Linked DNA regions of Sus scrofa. The protein of the gene in region 2 binds, or shares a complex with, the protein of the main gene of each other region. Links are inferred from orthologs where the notes say so. Each region holds a gene or a part of one and is shown on either strand. Other genes may lie near its edges. The genes, in order: GHRH and GHRHR.

Region 1 (9,689 bases), on a different chromosome or scaffold from region 2:
CCACACCTCTGCAGTGACTTGAGCCACTGAAGTTGGTTCCTTAACCCTCTGTGCCATAGCAGGAACTCGTGGAATTTTTTCAAAATAAAAACCAAAATGTGTTCAGGGAGTTTCTGATGTGGCTCAGAGGTAAACAAACCTGACTAGTTTACCCTGGCCTTGCTCAGTGGGTTAAGGATCCAGTTACCATGAGCTGTGGCGTAGGTTGAAGTCGTGGCTCGGGTTTGGTGCTGCCCTGGTGTAGCCTGGGAACTTCCATATGCTGCAAGTGTAGCCCTAAAAACGAAAAGAAAAAAGAAACATAAAATGTGTTCAAGCTGTGCAGTCAGGCTCCTTGGATGCTGACTCTGCCACTCTGGTGTGTGCCCTTTGGAAGCTATTAATGTAGCTTCTGTATGATGGGGGTAAGAGTACCTCCTTTGCAGAGTTGTTAGAGCAATGAAACTAAGAAAATGGCTAATACTACCAAGGGCTTACTCTGTGCCCGGCGCTGTGTCAAAGGTGTGTACCTGTCCCCATGTAGCCTTTGTTTCTGGCACAGAGTCATAACCAAGTGGTAATGGGGACAACCACATAGTGGGGGTCCAATGATCATTTATTAGAAGTAAGCTGAGATTTGGCAACTCCCGAAATGACAGGTACTGAGCAAGGGAAGAGACCAGAGTTGGTCCCTGCAAACTGAGGGGCATTTGGAGTGCAAGAAGTCACTAGAATGTCGGCTCACCCCTGCTGCCTGCTCATGATGTCCTGGAGGAGCTTTCGGGCAGAGAGCTGGCCCAGCACCTTCCGGTAGCTGTTGGTGAAGATGGCATCTGCATACCGCGGCATCCTAGTGGAAGGAGTCAGAGGTCAAAGGACAGGGTGGGAGGCCGGTGGGCTGTCTCACCGGATCTCAGTAAGGTCCTTCTGTTGCCCTTTGCCCTGCTCACCCCCTAGAGAGGAGGGTGGGGGTGACCTCTCTGGGGCTCGGAGTCCACCTCCCTCCCAGAGAGGAGCAGGGGAGGCTGCCTGTGGCCAGCTGACAGCTCAATTCTGCATCCCCTGACACCACACCTGCACGGACAGCAGTGGGCTGGCAGGAACCCCAGGGCCTGTTGTCAGGACTGCTTACCTGAGGGGCTGGGACGGCAGGGAGCTGAGGGAGCCGCTGCTGAGGGTGAGGGTGACGAGGAAGAACACCCAGAGCAGCATCCTTCACCCCTGTGGTGGCACCTGGGAGTGACAGACAGGAGGAAAAGGTCAGCTGGAGCCATAGCCACTGGGACACCTTTTGCTGGCTGGGCCCAGCTCAGGTCTTGGCCCCATGCAAGCTTTGGTCCTTGTCCTTTGGAAGCTGTGGGGCAGGAAAAAGAACACAGACTTTGGAAGTCAGACACAGTTGGGTTCAAGTCTGGCCTCTGCTAGACACAAGCTCTGACCTCATTTTTTTTTTCATCTGTAAAATGGGTATGATAAAGCCACCCGGCTGACCTCACGGGGTTGCGTATTAAGTGAAGGATAATGGTGAACCTGCCCCTGGCTGTGAGGCATTGCACGTGGCATTCAGGCCTCATCGAGGAAGCAGGGGAAAGCAAGCATCTTCCCTTCGTCCTCTAAATCAGCGGCACTGACAGCGGTGAGCGGGACTAACAGCTCAGGCTCTGGGTCAGACAAATCAGAGTTCACATCCATCACTAGCTGTGCATCCCAGGACGGGGGGCTTCTCTTTTCTGGATCTCCGTTTACCCACAAAATGGAGTTGCTAACTCTGCCCAGGGCATAGGGTCCTTGTGAGCATGAGATGGGGTACCTGGAGGGTGTGGTGTGTGGGGAATTCTCCACAATCCTCTGATGCTCAGAGGGCAGGCTGCTTTGTTTTTGTGTGGAGCTGGGGGTGGGGTGGGGGGAGGCTATACCTCTTGCTCCAGATGCTTAGATTTTGCCAAAGACTTCTAGTCCTGATAGAAACCAGGGAGCCTGGGGAGCCCGTGAGGCAGAAGCATCTCATAGATCACGTAATTATCCTTAATTGGGGCCTGCTGACACCATGCAATTAGGGGAAGAACAGTCAACAGGGGAGAGAGCCCGCCTCGCGCCTCGGCAGGGGAGGTGCCTCTGCCGTCAACGCAGACCGAGTGCGTGGCAGAGATGGCTGGCTTCGGCGTGTCTCGGCCACCTAAGAGTTGGGTCTTCTCATATCCCAGGGGCACCCCCTCTCCGCAGGATGTCCACTCCATGGGGATGCAGCCCCCCGCCCTGGAGGCCCAGCCAGCCCCAGAGAGGCCAGGACCATCTGCCCATCAGGTTCCATTTCCAGTTGGTCCTGCTGAGGAGGGATTTCCGGCAGGCAGAGCCAGCGCTGCAGGAATCCACTCCCTTTTCTGGGCTCACCCCCCTTCTCCCAGACACTGGGGTCTCAACTAACCCAGGCATGCCTTGAGACCCCTGCACCTCCAGAGCTAGAGGAGGGGGCGGTCCAGACCTCAGTCACCAGCTCCTCTTTGACGTGCGCCCTCTCCCCCCAGACAGACAATCTCCAGTTTCAGCTCAAACACTCACTGCCAGTGAGTGACAGGGAGCTCACTACCTCCAAGCCAGTCTGTCCCATTTCCAGGCAGCTCCTCTTGTTAGGAGGTTTTTCTCATTGCATCAAGTTCCAAGTCCCCTTTTGCTGCAAATTCTTGTTAAGCTTTCATGATTCTGGGGAGGGTTGGGGCCAGAGAAAAGATGAGACCGTGATATCGGCCCTCGAGGGCAGCCCCTTCGATGTCTACCTGCTGTGCCTCCCAGAGCTTCTGCACCTCCATCCACACGAAAAGCCCTTTATTTTTTTATTTTTGGCCACCCTGAGGCATACAGAGTTCCCGGGCCAGGGATCAGATCCTAGCTGCCATCACGACCTAAGACACAGTTGCAGCAATGCTGGATCCTTAACCCACTGAGCTGGGCTGGGGATCGAACCCATGTCCCAGCGCTCCCAACACGCCGCCACCGATCCCCTTGTGCCACAGGAGGAGCTCCCACGAAAAGCCCTTTAGATGCGCTTTGCACCTGACTTAGACCCCGTCCCCCAAACCGAGGGTCTTTCGTCTTCTGCCCTTCTCATCACACTGTCACAACTGGCTCCCCCTTTTCTGAGCTGGTCCACTGCTGGTTTCCTCAGCAGGGAGATATTTGGAGGCAGAAAATCTCCTCCACACACCACTGCTCTTCCGTCTCCCAGCTGCAGCCTGGGCTTTCTTGCCTTCTGTCCTGCTGGTCCTTTAACCACCAGGGCACATCCAGACCCTTAATCACTCACTCACCTCTCAGAAGCCTTGGCACTCCATCCCCGCCAGAGTGAAACCCAAACCCCTGCTCTTGGCCTAGGCTCCCCCTGGGTCTCCCCACCCGCCACCACTTCTCCCAGGGCTGGCTCAAGGGATTCCCAGGACACCCCCACCTTTGTCCTCCAGAGCAGGTATCACCACCTCTATTTTACCATCAGGGAAATGAGCCCAGAGAAGAGAAGGGCCTTTTTCTGTGGTCCTCCAACAAATTAGTCTCGGAGTGGGCACTTCAGAAGGGGCCTCGTGATTCCCAGGCCAGCAGACTTCCTCCTGCTCCGCGAGGCGCCCTCTCAGATACAATCCCCTATTCATGCGGGCGCCTCAGAATTCATCACCTGTGCGTGGGAAACGGTTCTGAGAAGACCACATGCTTTTGCTCTTTGTCACTAAGTCTCTGGGGAAGAAATAAGGGGGAAAGACAGGAACACCTGCTTGGTTGGCGTGTTCCTATGCACAGCCAGTGGTTTTAGGGAGTTGAAAATAGCCCGATAAGAGGGCAGTCTTTGGGGGGCAAGTCAACGTAAGTCCAATGACCCCTGGTCATTCAGGAATGAGGTGGGGTAACCTCATAGTCTGGTCCACCAAGAGGCACCACATTTGCTATAAACCACATGCCCGAGGGATGGGTCATGACACCCTTGTAACCTCTGGGCTGAGAACCTAATCCATGTGGTTGCAAAATCCCACTGGACAAAAAAGGAAAACAACAAGAATAACCCAGCCTATGAGATGAGAACAGCGGAGAAGCTAGCTGTTGACAGATATCTTCCACATGGCCAGTCCAAGGAGCTAGAATTCATGGAATTAAATCTAGTGCATATCCAACAGCACCACCGACAACTCCTTGATGGCCTCAAAGTCATCTTAGGGTTTATCATCTATCATTACAAGTATCAGTCAGTTCTCAACAGTGCTTACAAACTAATTTTGTCATTAGATATATTCGAGGTTGTCTGGCTTCAGGAAAAATGGGCACTTGATTCACAGCAGCTGGCACCTTTTGCCAGACTTGGTGCCAAGAATGCTACAAGAATTCTGCAGATGAACCTTCAACTGACGACAGAGGTCAGATCTCAAGTGCCAAACTAGCGAGGCCATTTTTGAACTCCTGGGGGAAAAAAAACAAATCTTTTACCTTTCTCGAATATTCTACTGTGTGATTTAAGAACCCCGCCCCCCCCAATCCTGACTCTGTTTATAAACTGTTTCCAGCAATAGTGCTCTAAGTTGAGGGAGATCTAAGTTTTTAGTGAGGAAGCATCTTGAACGGTCATTCAAAAGGGTGGTGCCCCACCCCCTTCCAGAAAGGTTGGAGGTGGCTTATGGTAAAAGACGCAAATACTCAGGATCCCTGAAGCCCCGAAGGGTCAAGAGACAAGCTTCAGGAGCAGGTCATTGTGTCTAAAACCTAGAGTAAGGAGTGCGGCTGCAATTGAGCAAGAAAGCAAAACGTTATCAATTTCCAGGCAATTGTATTAAATCGGTCCTGAGCAATCGGTGAGTGGTATTGATTTGCACAGCCACTTGCTTCCTTTCGGGTCCGTGGCAGAATCCCGTTGTGGGCAGGAGAATCTAGCCAGCGGGTGCCTTGCTCTAGCAGCCCACCCCCACACCCATGAAGGAGCACCGAGACCTCAGCTGCCCCTGACAGACACCTGGCACATGTCTGCCTGCCACCTCTCCGAGGACTGAGTGGCCAAGCGTCCAAGACAACCTCAAAATGGCGCCAACCATCAAGAGCACGTTCCAGAGCCACTAACAAGGGGCCTAAAAGGTACTCACCAGTCCACGGGCAAAGAAGACGGCAGTGGGCCTGGTGAACTGGGTGTCTCTGAACTGGTGAGAAGATCAACTGTCTTGCCCCCATCCAGCCCGGCCCCCAGGGCCACCCCCCTCTCACCTCCGATGTGGCAGGTCTCCCTCTGCCAGAAGACGCGGCTCCAGTTCCACGGGCCTCGGGCTCGCCGTTTGCTTCAGCGCCTGCGTGGTACTCGCATCATTTATACCTTCATTTTCCTAAGTGTTGTCAGCGTCAGAGAATCAATTACACACAAGTCCACCAAAGGACCGTTTTTAGCATCGCACTGACAAACCCTAACGGGGGAAAGAGGTTTTGCCCCTCGCCAATTCAGACTCGTATTGAACTTGCCCTTTATCTTCGAGAGCACGGACAGAGCAAAAAAAAAAAAATTATATTATTCCGAGAAGAAGAGAGAGTATAATCCTGCTACTCTAATAATTGGAGTACTCAGAACAGTGAACCACCATTTACTCTCAGAGATAAATGGGCGTTTTAAAAAGTTGGTATAATCTTGTTTTGTCCGTGTGCAACTTTATTTCACTTTAGGGCAGCCAACATTACAGGCTGGGTGTTTTTCTCCTCTTAGTGAGGAAAGTTGCTTGCTATTTCCCTTGTCATCCAATTATCAAGATTTTCCCCTCTTGACTTGTACCTGCTGCGGTCACAGGTCGGTGTAGGCAGCGAGCCTGGGGAGCATCTGTTTCATGTGTCAAGGCTGCCTCAGAGGTGTGTGAGGTGAGAGGGGAGAGATGGAGTGCCTTGGGAGAGTTGTGCTTCCAGATTTCTCTAGCCGATAGCAAAAGAAGCCTCAAGAACGGCATGAAAGTGTGCGAGGCAGAAGCCCTGGTTTCCCATAGGGCTGCTGTGGAGGACTGGAAATTGCTGTGAGCTGAGTCCAACTACCCCTCCGTGTCTGTCCGTCATGACTTTGGTGACCTTCAGAAGTTACTTCTGCCTTCCAGGCCTCAGTTTCTACACTATCGATTTCTACTCCCATCACAGCTCAGGGAAAACAGCAGAGAACAGAAGTTTTCCAAGTTTGTAAATAGTGACACAGAACTTTCTTTGGAAATCGTCTATGGAAGTGCAGTATACAAAGCAGATTTTTTTCTTGGCCGTACCCACTGCATGCAGAAATTCTGGGACCAGGAATCAAACCCAGGTCACTGCTGAGGAACCTGAGCCATAGCAGTGACCAGGTCCTTAACTTGCTGAGCCACCAGGAAACTCCTAAAACAGATTTTTAAAATGGAGCTGCACTGGTTAGAGATTGAGGAGTGGAGACTGCCTTTGCCTGCCCCGGGACACCTCTCTGGTTCGCAGTTAGAACCAGTAGTTTCTGGAACCTCCTCCAAGTGACACTTTATGAACCTGCTTCTTAGCCTTCACTGAGCCATGTTCCTGGCACAGAGCAAACATGGGATGTTCCCCAGAGAAGCAGGGACTGAGCAGCATCACCCTGCAGGCCTGGACACAACGTGGTGTGGTCAGGTCAGGCCAGATCCCCAGGGACTAAGAATGGCTGATGGGTCACAGCTGCAGGTGGCAGATGGAGGAGTTAGGAAGCCCAGGGCAGTGGGCTCTCTTACAGTCAGGAGGTGTGGGGTTATCTCAGCGAATGCAAGGTGGGTACCACCCAGAGTTGGGCACCCAGAATGGACACCAGGCCAGAGTACAGACATGGGACACACAGAACTGGCCCAAGAAACCACAGGGATGAGAATTCAACCCCAGCTGAAGCTCTGTGTTAGGGATTGAGCTAAAGACTTCATGCCTAATCTCAGTTTTCTCATCTGTGAAATGAGAGTGATGGGGCTCATCTCATGAGGCTGTTGGGTGAGGATTAAATATGACTGTGGATAGGGTACAGGCCTGGAATAGAGTAAGTCACATAAGTAAGCTCCTACTGCTATCACCGTTGTTCTAAATGAGGAAAGAGGCACAGAAAGGTTACCCACTTTTCCACAGTCACACAGCTGTGCAATGGTAGAGCCAGGACTCAAAGTTTTCTAGCTTGCAAATTTAGTATTCCACAACAACCTGAGCTACTATGGCCCACCAATTCTAATTCTTCTAGTTTTTTTTAAGAACTTTAGGAGTTTCTTGGTGATCCAGAAGTTAAGGCTCTGGTGTTGTCACTGCTGTGACTTGGATTCAGTCCCTGGCCTGGGACCTTCCACATGCCATGGGTGCAGCCAAAAAAAACCTCCCAAAAGTTAAGGGTTTTACTGAAGTATAATTAACACACCAAAAAAGTCACCTGTTTGAAGTCTATGGTTCAGTGAATCTTCATAAACTTCTACAGTTGTGCCACCATCTACCTCAAGGAGGTGGACCCAGAGAGGGACACACCACTAAATGTTCCAAGAATCAAGAAAAGGGAGAAGTCACGGTAAAGCTGGGAAAGTATCAAATGGGTTTGGAGCCAACTGTGTGATTTTTGGGCAAGGTGTTTAGCTGTGCTGAGCCTCAGTTACCACATCTGTACAATGGGCATGATAATACCTACCTCCCCAGGTTGTTGTGAGGATCAGAAACTATGCTTGTAAAGTACCTGATACACCTGGCAAATGTAGCCATCACTGTAGGTCTAATGATCAGAGCTGAGCTCAGAAAGCCAGGCGGGAGAGCTGGGAGCCCTCCTGGGTGAGGAGCTTAATTTGCTGTCATTGCTCCAACCCATCAAGGAAGGAGATGGGAGGGAGGAAGTGAAAATGTGCCTTGAGAGTGAGAGCCAGGCCCCCTCCACCAAGTCCTGCTGCCAGCCGCCTCGTCCTTATCCTCCGAGGGGTGGGAACGGCTTGCTCACCACCCGGCTCTCTTCCCAGGATGGGTTTGAACCCAGCGCTAATTAGTGATCGTGCCTGTGTATAAGGGTTGGGGGCTTGAGCTGTGGAAAGAAAGCGCCCTAGAGAAAGGCTGGCTTTAAAAAGCCCCAAAAGGCTGGGGCAGCGAGGCTCCGCCGAGAGACAAGTGGAGCATTTGTGTTGCAAATTTCCAGTGTGCCGGAGCCAGCCATTCAGAGGGCGATGATGCTAGAGGCCTAGGCCTGGGGGTGGGGAGCGCAGAGGGAATCGACAAAGGGGGCCTGTCCCAGGGCTTCAGACCCTGCTTTGTAAAAGCTGCTTTCATCGCTCTCCCTGGATGACGGCGGTGTTCCCAGCCTGAGGCCACCATGCAAGGCTGGAAGGCCTGGACCCCAGACTCCCAGATTCCTTTGTTATCCCCTGCTGCCCACTCTATGCCTTCTAGGCCCTTCTGTGGAGTCAGCAGCAGCAGATGTCAACAGGAGTGCTTATGAGAGCGATGTCGTAGGGGTTGGCCTGGCTTGGTGGCCTCGGGCAAAGTCACAGGACTTTCCCAAGCCTCGGTTTCCTCTTCTGTGAAATGGGGCCAAAAGGTTCTGTCTCCTATTTCACGTCCTATCCTAGCATAAGTGCCTGTGAATGGATGGTGATCCAGGTTCACCTCTTTCTGGAAAAGTCTGCATTTGGGAAGGCCATTAGAACTCTTTTAAAGAGGTAAAGTCGGTCGTACTTAGCAAGTCAATTAAGTGACTCTGGGTTGCTTGGAAATATTACCCTCATGAGTATTTTACTTTACTTTTACTTATTTAGCTTTTTTTTTTTTTTTTTTAAGGGCCGCACCTGCAGCATATGGAGGTTCCCAGGCTAGGGGTCTAATTGAAGCTACAGCTGCTGGCCTACGCCAGAGCCACAGCAAAGCCAGATCTGAGCTGTGCCTGCAACCTGCACCACAGCTCACAGCAATGTTGGATCTTTAACCCACCAAGAAAGGCCAGGGATCAAACCTGCAACCTCATGGTTCCTAGTCGGATTGGTTTCCACTGCACCACAAGGGGAACTCCCCCTCATTAGTATTTTAAACAGTCACCTTGCTTGGAATCTTTGGGCTTGTCCCAAGTCAGTTATTATGGCTGTTTACCAGGCTGTTTTTCTGGGTTGGGAGATGAAGTGCTGGTGCCAGGCATGCAGCACAGGAAGCCAGTCCCTGGCTGATCCTTCAAGCAAGCTCTCCCAGGCAAAGATCTATCTGACCCCTCTTCAAAGCACTCTATGGATCCCACCTCTCCAAGAAATGTTCCCTACTGGTCTTGCCTTGTGATCAACAGATTTTATATGTGGAAAAGCACCCCTAAGACACTTGGGATGTCTGGGACCAGATCTGATTCATCTCTGAGCCCCCTAAAACATTTTTTCCTCCTTTTTTTTTTTTTTTTTTTTTTTTTGTCTTTTTGTCTTTTTGCCTTTTCTAGGACTGCTCCTGCAGCATATGGAGATTCCCAGGCTAGGGGTCTAATCAGAGCTGTAGCCACTGGCTTACGGCAGAGCCACAGCAACGAGGGATCCGAGCCGCGTCTTCAACCTACACCACAGCTCACGGCAACGCAGGATCCTTGACCCCCTGAGCAAGGCCAGGGATCGAACCCACAACCTCATGGTTCCTAGTTGGATTTGTTAACCACTGCGCCACGACAGGAACTCCTTCAATTTTACTGAGATATAATTGATATAAATAAAGCTTTCTAAACAAGGTGCACTGCCGACCCAGACCCAGTG
Region 2 (7,907 bases):
TCACACGTGGGTGGTGACACCCCGTGGCACCATACAGCAGTCAAAACAAGCGACCAGATGAGCGCCCACGGCAACCTGGGTGGATCTCTTACAAGAATCGTGCCGGGAGGAAAGACGTTAGAAGCAGGATGAGACATACAACCGACAGCATTTATGTAAATTAAAAGTACAGACACGCATCACACCACGCATTTCGCGGGAAAACACAGAAATGCAAGTATTCACATGAACACGCTGGAATATTTGCCTGTGGGAGGAGGGGAGCGGCGTGGAGGTAGAGATGGAAGAGGGTACATTTTTAAAGTGCATTAAACCAGAGGACCCCAGTACAGACAAATGACAGCGACGCGACATGAACTAAGGCGTGAGGTCTGAAGAAAAGCCCACTGATCCCTCCCTGGCAGAGGCGCATGGAGTCACTCGAAAGCACATCCACTCATTTACAAGTTTATTGGCTCCTCTGGCTTTCGGCTCCGGCCCAGACTCCAGGAGGAGGGACGCGAGAAGGAAAGAGACAGAGGAACCAACGACTTCAGAGGTAGACACACAGGGACTCAGGCCAAAGAGTCAGAGGCAGGACAGGAAAGAAGGGCTGGACTGCAGCCTGGGCAAGGGCACGAACGGAGGGTTCCTGGGGGGCAGGGGGCTGGTCCCCCTCCTCTGGAGGAGGGTGGACCCAAGCCGCTGCCCACGTTCAGGTGTGGATTCCAGGTGTGTGACAAGGGCAGCTTAGCACACAGTTGTCAGCACCTTCGCCCTTGAGCGGGAAGGCTTTGCCCATTTGGCATGAGTCCTCCAGGCTGGCAGAAGTTCAGGGTCATGGCCATGCCACCTCCGTGAGATCTCAGTCCTCACCTCCAAGGAAACAGGGAGGATGTTAGGGAGGTCCCTTGGCTGCTTCTTTACTCAACCCCAGTGGGGCTGAGAGCACAGGGAGAGACCATGCAGGAGAAACAGAGACAGGGGTTTCTGGGGCAGGAGAAGCTATGGTTGGCCGCAGCCACTGCTAAGTACTGTGTCTGGAGGATACTACTTCCTCCTTCCTGGGAGTATTTCTGACCATTCCCTTCCACTCTTTTTCTGCCTTTTAGCACTGCCTTTGTCTAGGCCCAGTTAAAGATATTTATGGGTGCTTTATTTGAGTTTCTGGTAAAAAAAAAAAAAAAAAAAAAAAAAACCTACTCTGTCTTCTCCAAATAGCTGAGACCCTGTTCTGGGGCTCAGTCCGGCCCCTGCCCACTGAGCTGAATTGTGGCCACTGGGAGCCTGTCCAGAGGACATGACCTGAAGGAAGTGAAGCCTCCAAACTTTCTGAGGAGTCGCAGTTGAGGGTACTGAGAATAAGTGAAAAAAAAAAAAGCCATTTGGGAAGTGCAGGGGGTTGGGGGTAATGTCTGCAGTTTCACATCTCCAAGGGGGCTCCGGTGGGCAGAGGGAGCAGAGAGGCTGGGACCTTTCTGACAAAGATGAGCCTAAGCGGTGACAAAAGGCAAAAGGGAGATATATTCTGTTTGTCCAACATAAAAGTGAGCTTCCTGACAACTGTTGAGAGGTAGTAAGCTCCCTGTCTCCAGAGGCATGTAACTGTCTGGCCCTCAAACCTGCTTCCTGGAACAGATCCCTCGACACATTTCTGTGGAATCCCTTTTTTCAGACGTCATCTGGGGCACTGAGTTCAAATTCCCCCACTTCTCCCATAAAGCAAGTCTGTCCTAAAGGGAAAGTGTCGAGTGTCTTCGGGCGGGATGTTCTAATTGGCTCCTCTCTGCCATCTCTCCATCATTCTGCAAGAACACCGACACCATCTATCCTGTCTCTTCACGTTTGTCCACCTCTGCTGGGTCTGGGTTTTTGTGCGTCTCTCCTCCAGTGCCCTGCCCTCCATTGTCCTCCCTGGCTCTGCACCTGAATCTATCTCCCTAGACTTTGTATGTCTACCTCTGGCTTTCTTGATTCCTCTCTGTCTTCTCTCTGTCTCTCCAGGAACTGACTTGTTCGTTCCCCCACTCTCCTTTTTGTTCAATTTTAGGAACACAGAATTAAGGGATCCCTTTACCCCCCCCCATCCTCTTATGATCCCTGAAAGGCCTCTTCTACTTCCTGTTGAATGGACAGTAAACTTGGCCCAGCCCAGAGAAGGGATGGATAAAAGATGTTTATAGGAAGTATTCAGGTGTAGCTTGATCCAGAAGCTCAGAACAGACTCCCAGGAAGGACTGTAGAACTGGGATTAACAGGGGCTGGACAGGAGGGGGAGGGAGGACGTAGGACTGGTGAGAGCGAAGCCTTAATGAGTAAGGACAGCCTGAAGGGTCACATACCTCTTGGTTGAGGAAGCAGTACAGGATGGCAACAATGAAGCCCTGTGGGGCCAAAGAGAAAGGGGCCCGTCACCTTGGCCCGGCCTCAAGGTGTCTTCCTACTACCTTTTCACCCACCGCCAGGCTATGGCTTGAGCCAGGTCTTTGGGAAAAGGGTAAGAAGGTGTGTTCATCACTTACTATGTCCAGTGTATTGTCACATGTAACTGTCACACAAGACGGCCAAGGCTGTACTGTGGGCCCCAGTGGCCCATTTCTCTGATTTTCTTTATTCCTGCATCGCCCAGTATTAAGCAAAGAGCCTGGCACATAATAGGTGCTCAGTATATATTGAATGGACTGGGTGGATGGATGGAGAGATGGGAGGATGGTTGGACAGATATGTGCAGGTGTAATTGAACAATAGAGACATGGATGGATGGAAGAGGAGCAGCCTGGCGGGCAGCTGAATGAATGGCGAGGGCTGGAAGGAAGAATAGCCAGCCTAGTCGCCCTGACCTACCGTGAAGTCAACCCGGCCCATGGACGGGAGCACCTGCCTCCTGCCAACGACTCAGAGGGAAGGAGTGAGTGCCTGGGGGCCTCACCTGGAAGGAGCCCAGTCCCAGCTCCAGGGGGAGGCGGATGCCCAGGCCAGCACTGTCAGGCAGGAAGTTGAAGATGACGTAGTGGATTCCAAACAGTGGGATGAGGAGAAGGGTTGACTTGGAGAGACGCCTGCAGAAGAAGACAAGCCCAGGGCTGGAATTAGAAACACCTACATGCCCCCTGCCTCCTTTCACTTCCCACTGGTGTTCTTTACCTCGGACCCCTGGAGTCTAAGGTTCTCTCTGCCAAATGCTCTTGTCTCAATGTATTCCAGTCAAGTCTGTGCATCTAGTTCAAAGACACTTCCTCCGGGAAGTCTTCCTTGATTGCACCCCAAACTGCACCATCTATTTTAAAAGGATCTCCTTCAGGAGGCGCCTACTGAAATTGATCTCAGCACTCATCAGCTGTCTGGCCTGGTAACTGGCTGTTTGGAGCCCCCACACTTCCTATGCTGTGATGTCCCAGAGGGCAGGGGCCAGATCCATTCTCTCTCTGGGAACATGGTAAGAATCATAGGACCAGGATCACAAATGCCTAATCGTGAATCAAAAAGGAACATGCTGACTCCTGCTCCAGTTTTGTCCCATAATCCCTAAAACACACACACACTTTACCAGTACTGAGGCTGGGTGTGGAGGCTGCCCTGAGCTGGCTCCAGTTTCCTCAGCAGGATGCGGATAATATTGAGAAAAAGCCCAAAGTTCACCTGGAAAATAGAGGTGCAGGAAGGTGGAAAGCAAGGATCAGGGTGACTCCAATGCCGGGGGTGGGGCCTCTTTGGGGCCCAGGAACCTCAAGTCCTGAGAGGCGGGGATGTGCAGGTGGAAGGATGTGCATATCACTGCTCTAGACCTTGACCTTGTCACCTAGTGACTAGGAAGTCCCATGTGGGGTTCAAGGACTCAGGGGCTCAGGGTCCTCCTCCCTCTCCAGTCATGGGACCAGGGTGGAGGTCAGGCCTTGCCATCCTGCCTCCAGCACCTCTCAGGCTCTTCTCTGGCACAAAGCCTATGGCCTTCACTTTGCACAATTGCAAAACTGACAAAAATGTGTACATTCACCCAGGCCACGCAAACCAGTCCTGGATGCTCTGTCTTCTGCATGGGAGCAGGTAAGCGTTTCAGCAGCCACGCCGTCTACCCCCACAGCCCAGCCTCACTGCAGTAGTAGGTGATCTGAAACCAGGGCACAGACTCATCAAAACTCTGAGCTGGAAGCACTGGTTCTACCAACGGGCTCTTGAGGTCCAGAGAGGCTGCACAGAGAATCTGTGGCAGAGCCAGGCTGGAACCTGGGTGTCGGGACTCCCAGCCTGGAGTCGTGTTTCCTGCTGTGTATGGCTGCTCAGTGGACCCAGGCGGTAGGCTGAAAAAAGCAGAGGCCACCAGTCTCAGGCACTGACCCCCACGGAGAGGACGATGGGCCCTTTGATGATCCACCAGTAGGGGGAGCTGTCGTCCAGGTCCCAGCACCTGGGGAGAGGACAGGCCAGGACAGATGCAGGGGTGCCGTGCGGGCAGGTGCTGCAAAACCCTTTTCTGGAGGTACCCATGCTGCTCCCTCCTCTCTTCTCTCTGCCTGCTGGCCGTTAGGTTCCTCATTCTGGAATTTGGGTCTTCTAGCCTCATGCCCTACTGTCCAGCCTTATCTTCTCTCCCGGACATTTAGAACCTTTCCGAAGGAGCACCCCAATCCAAGCTGGACTCACCCTTTCTCTCCACCTGGAAGGTGAGTTTCTCAAAAATCAGTCTGTCTGCTGCCTTCTTACAGCCTCAACACTTCCGCCTCTGTTCCAAGAAGCCCCCACTGACAGCCCCCTACCCGTGCCTCTCCTGGAGCCCCGGCGCCCTGAGCCTCTGCACCCCCTTCCTGCCGGGGCTCAGGCCCCTTCAGTGCTGTCCACGGACCATGTCTCCCCACCCTCAGGCCTGGGGATTCCCTGAAGGCAGGAGCAGGAGCAGGAGAGAGCTCCTTCTCTCTCCCCAGGTTGAACAACAGCCACGTTGCCTGAATGTCCAATTCACAGCCCATGGGAACCCGGGACAGAGGGGACGAGGGGATCACGCAGACTCACGCAACATCCTCAAAGGCCAACTTGCAACCCACCCACGTGCCAGTGAAGAGCAGGGGCAGCCCTGCGGGTACAGAGAAGACGCGAGTAAGGGGTCTGCTCTCCATCCAGCACCTGCCTCCCACCTCCACTGCCAGCCACGGGGGCACCATGGAGGCCGGACCAGGCAAGAGCTCAGAGGCTGCGGACGTGGCCCCGAGCTCCAACACTTGCTGTAGGATTACAAGCTGCCCTTCCCCGCTCCGGGCCTTGGGGTCACCATGAGTGAGCTGAAGCAACCTTTGTGTGCCTATCCTGGGCATCCTCCACCCTCACTCCCACCCCCACGGTGCCCAACCTCGGCTGGATGCTCACCCCAGCCAGCGAGAACCAGCCACCAGAAGGCCCTCCTCGTGCTGGGTGACGTAGAGGCCAAGAGGCAGGTCAGGTAGACAGCTTCTGCCAGCAGCCAGCTGAAGTTGGTCATGGTGGCGAAATGGGAGGTGGCCACAGAGACCTTGCACAGAACCTGCGGGCCAGGGCCGGGTGCTTCAGAGCCGGGACGCCCACTGGAGCCCCACCCGGTCTCCCCACCCCACTCAGGCCCTGAGTCTCCAGGGCTGCTCCAGCTTGGGCTGCCCCAGAGGGGATGCGGTGGTGTAATGTGGTGGTTAAGACACAGATTTGAGGTCCAGACAGCCTGGGTCCCTGTGTACCATCTGGGTACCCTCCCCATACCTTAGCTTTTCATCTGTAAAAGGAAAAACCCGATTCCTAGCTCATGGCCGCCTCAGAAAGATTAAATGGAAATTTACACGAGTGGCTACTAGTTGCCTTCTCGTCCCTTCTCTCCTGAGCTCAAGTCAAGCCCTAGAGCTGAGGACATGGAAGGCCATTCATTCCCACGCGGCTCCATTCGGCCGCCGTTCGCGCCGGCACCCACACATGCACTCATTCACAGCTCGACTCTGCTCATCTGTCGGGGTGAGAGGCATGGCCTCCGAGCGTAGATGGCCCAGGCTGGGTCCCACTCCCACCCCTCAGCAGCTGGGTGACATCGCCAATTGTCCCTCATCTACAAACGGGACAAAAATGAAAATATAGGTAGGAAATAAAAGGAGATAAGAGATGCAGAGCGTTTAGTGTAATGCCTGGCACATAAGTGCTCCGTCTGTATTGTAATTTCCTTCCCTGATGAATGAAGGGCACGTGCTGGTTCACTCATGTATCTGTTCGTCTCGAGCACAGTGTCAGAGGACCTACTAAGCGCTGGGCCTCCACACGCAGCCCGCCTCCCTTTATTTTCCACCTCTTCTCATTCACTCGCCTCCCAGCCCCCGTTAGGACCCCCCAGTTCTTGGACTTGCCCCAGCCTCTCCTGTCTGCGGGGGCTGCTTCACCCGGCTCCTCCCCAGTCCTTCTGCATCATCGCTGCCCACCCAGCTCCAAAGCCATCTCCTTCCTGGAGCCCTCGCCTGTCCTCTCCCAGCTGTCAGCTCCGTCTCTCTGCCAGCCCCATAATCTGGTACAATCTGTTCTCTTTGTCCCCTTGGGGGCATCTGCAAGCCCCTCACACCCACAGGCAGCACAGAGAGACCTGCTCAGAGGGAGGGCGAAGAGGAAAGTCTGGGTGGAGCGGAACGTGGTCCAGGCTGGGGTAAGGGATGGGCCATGGAATAGGGGGAGGGAATATAGAACAGAGCGTGGAATAAGGGAAATGGGGTGGACGGCAGGGTCCAGGAAACGGCAGGGGGACTTAGGACTTGACCCCAAAGAGGGGCGGGAAGGGGGAGGGGCGATTTCCTGCTCTGTCACTGGCCAGGCCAGGGCCCCAGGGGACTGGACCAGCGGGCACATCTACAGCCTTAACCCATCCTCCTCTCCCGCACCCCCACCGGCACCCCCAACCCTGGCTGGTACCGTGGAGAAGCTGCAGTGGTCCGTGTTCTCGCTGTGAAAGAGGGCGGCGTCTTTCAAGAACACAGCTCCCGCCTTGAGGATAAAGGTGGCGAACAGCTGGCTGTGGATGTAGTTCCTGGGGCAGTGGAGCCTCCTGGAGGGGGTGGGGGGGGTGGGGGACAGGACGCAAGGTGGGAGACGGGCTTATGGTGTGCTCAGAGCAGGCTTGGGGCGGCTGAGTAGGTGAGGAGGTGAATCAAATTGGCTTGGCTAGGATCAGATCAGATTGGATTGGATCCACTTGCGCTGAACCTGAGGCTTCAGCTTTACCCGTGCAGGAAGGCTGGGCTCAGGGTAGGTGAGGCCACAGAGAATAGCCGTCCCTGCCCTCGGGGAGCTCAGAGTCTGGAGGACAGAGGCAGAAACCACAGGGTACCGCCCGGGGGTGGGGGTGGGGGTGGGGGCTGGCTGATCAGAGAGATGAAGCCCATCCCCAGGAGACAGGCTGGGCGGGGTGGGGCTCAGACTCGGAAGTCTGGGGGGCTTCAAGAGGGCAAAAGTCAAAGGAACTGACATGGTCCAGAAGGGCTTCACTGGAGAGATGCAGAGGATGCCGAAGGCAGAGGCACACTGAGCTTTGAATTTTAACAGATGGGAAGACACTGAGGAAGAAGGAGGCGGATAAATTCCAGCCAAATAAATTCCACATGAGCAAAGGCACAGAGGAGGGAGCTGGCCCTGGAGTGTGAAGGGAGGGGTCGGCTTGCGGGGGAAGGAAAGGAAAGGTTAGAAAGAGGCGCCAGATCTGGGAGCGTCTTGAGTATCTCCAGGATTTAAGTTTGCCGCCGTGGGCGACGGGGAGGCAGCGAAGGTCCTGGAGCAGGTGGTGAGGACGGCGAACCTGAGAGCAACCAGGATGGCGATGGCCACGAAGAGGGCCACGGCAGAGACGCTGTGGCCCGTGGTGTAGACGATTCTCACAGTGGAGAAGTAGGATTTCTGGGGAGGGTGGAGATGGAGGTATCTCAGCAACTGGGCCCTTGGGG

What was found.
Region 1: the proteins of GHRHR (region 2) and GHRH are in contact, whole or in part, in a cryo-EM structure (PDB 7CZ5), measured with the Homo sapiens proteins. The link is inferred for Sus scrofa from reciprocal best matches to the Homo sapiens genes GHRHR and GHRH. Residues at the interface, in NP_000814.2 of Homo sapiens: Leu119, Ala120, Glu122, Glu123, Phe126, Ser127, Val129, Lys130, Tyr133, Val179, Lys182, Leu186, Phe187, Asp190, Thr192, Asp193, His194, Cys195, Phe197, His210, Thr213, Phe217, Ala271, Cys272, Asp274, Leu275, Asp276, Trp282, Ile285, Ile289; in NP_066567.1 of Homo sapiens: Tyr32, Ala33, Asp34, Ala35, Ile36, Phe37, Thr38, Asn39, Ser40, Tyr41, Arg42, Val44, Leu45, Gly46, Gln47, Leu48, Ser49, Ala50, Leu53.

Annotation. Positions count from the first base shown.
Region 1 is NC_010459.5:40,392,607-40,402,295, forward strand, and holds the start of GHRH (somatoliberin precursor), read right to left. Parts: upstream 5,252-9,689; 5' UTR 5,091-5,251; intron 1,213-5,090; 5' UTR 1,192-1,212; coding exon 1,112-1,191; intron 830-1,111; coding exon 725-829; intron 1-724. UniProt on the Homo sapiens protein: GRF is released by the hypothalamus and acts on the adenohypophyse to stimulate the secretion of growth hormone.
Region 2 is NC_010460.4:42,031,638-42,039,544, forward strand, and holds the end of GHRHR (growth hormone-releasing hormone receptor precursor), read right to left. Parts: intron 7,861-7,907; coding exon 7,763-7,860; intron 7,016-7,762; coding exon 6,883-7,015; intron 5,492-6,882; coding exon 5,338-5,491; intron 5,048-5,337; coding exon 4,987-5,047; intron 4,385-4,986; coding exon 4,315-4,384; intron 3,619-4,314; coding exon 3,527-3,618; intron 3,039-3,526; coding exon 2,909-3,038; intron 2,364-2,908; coding exon 2,322-2,363; intron 856-2,321; coding exon 730-855; 3' UTR 436-729; downstream 1-435.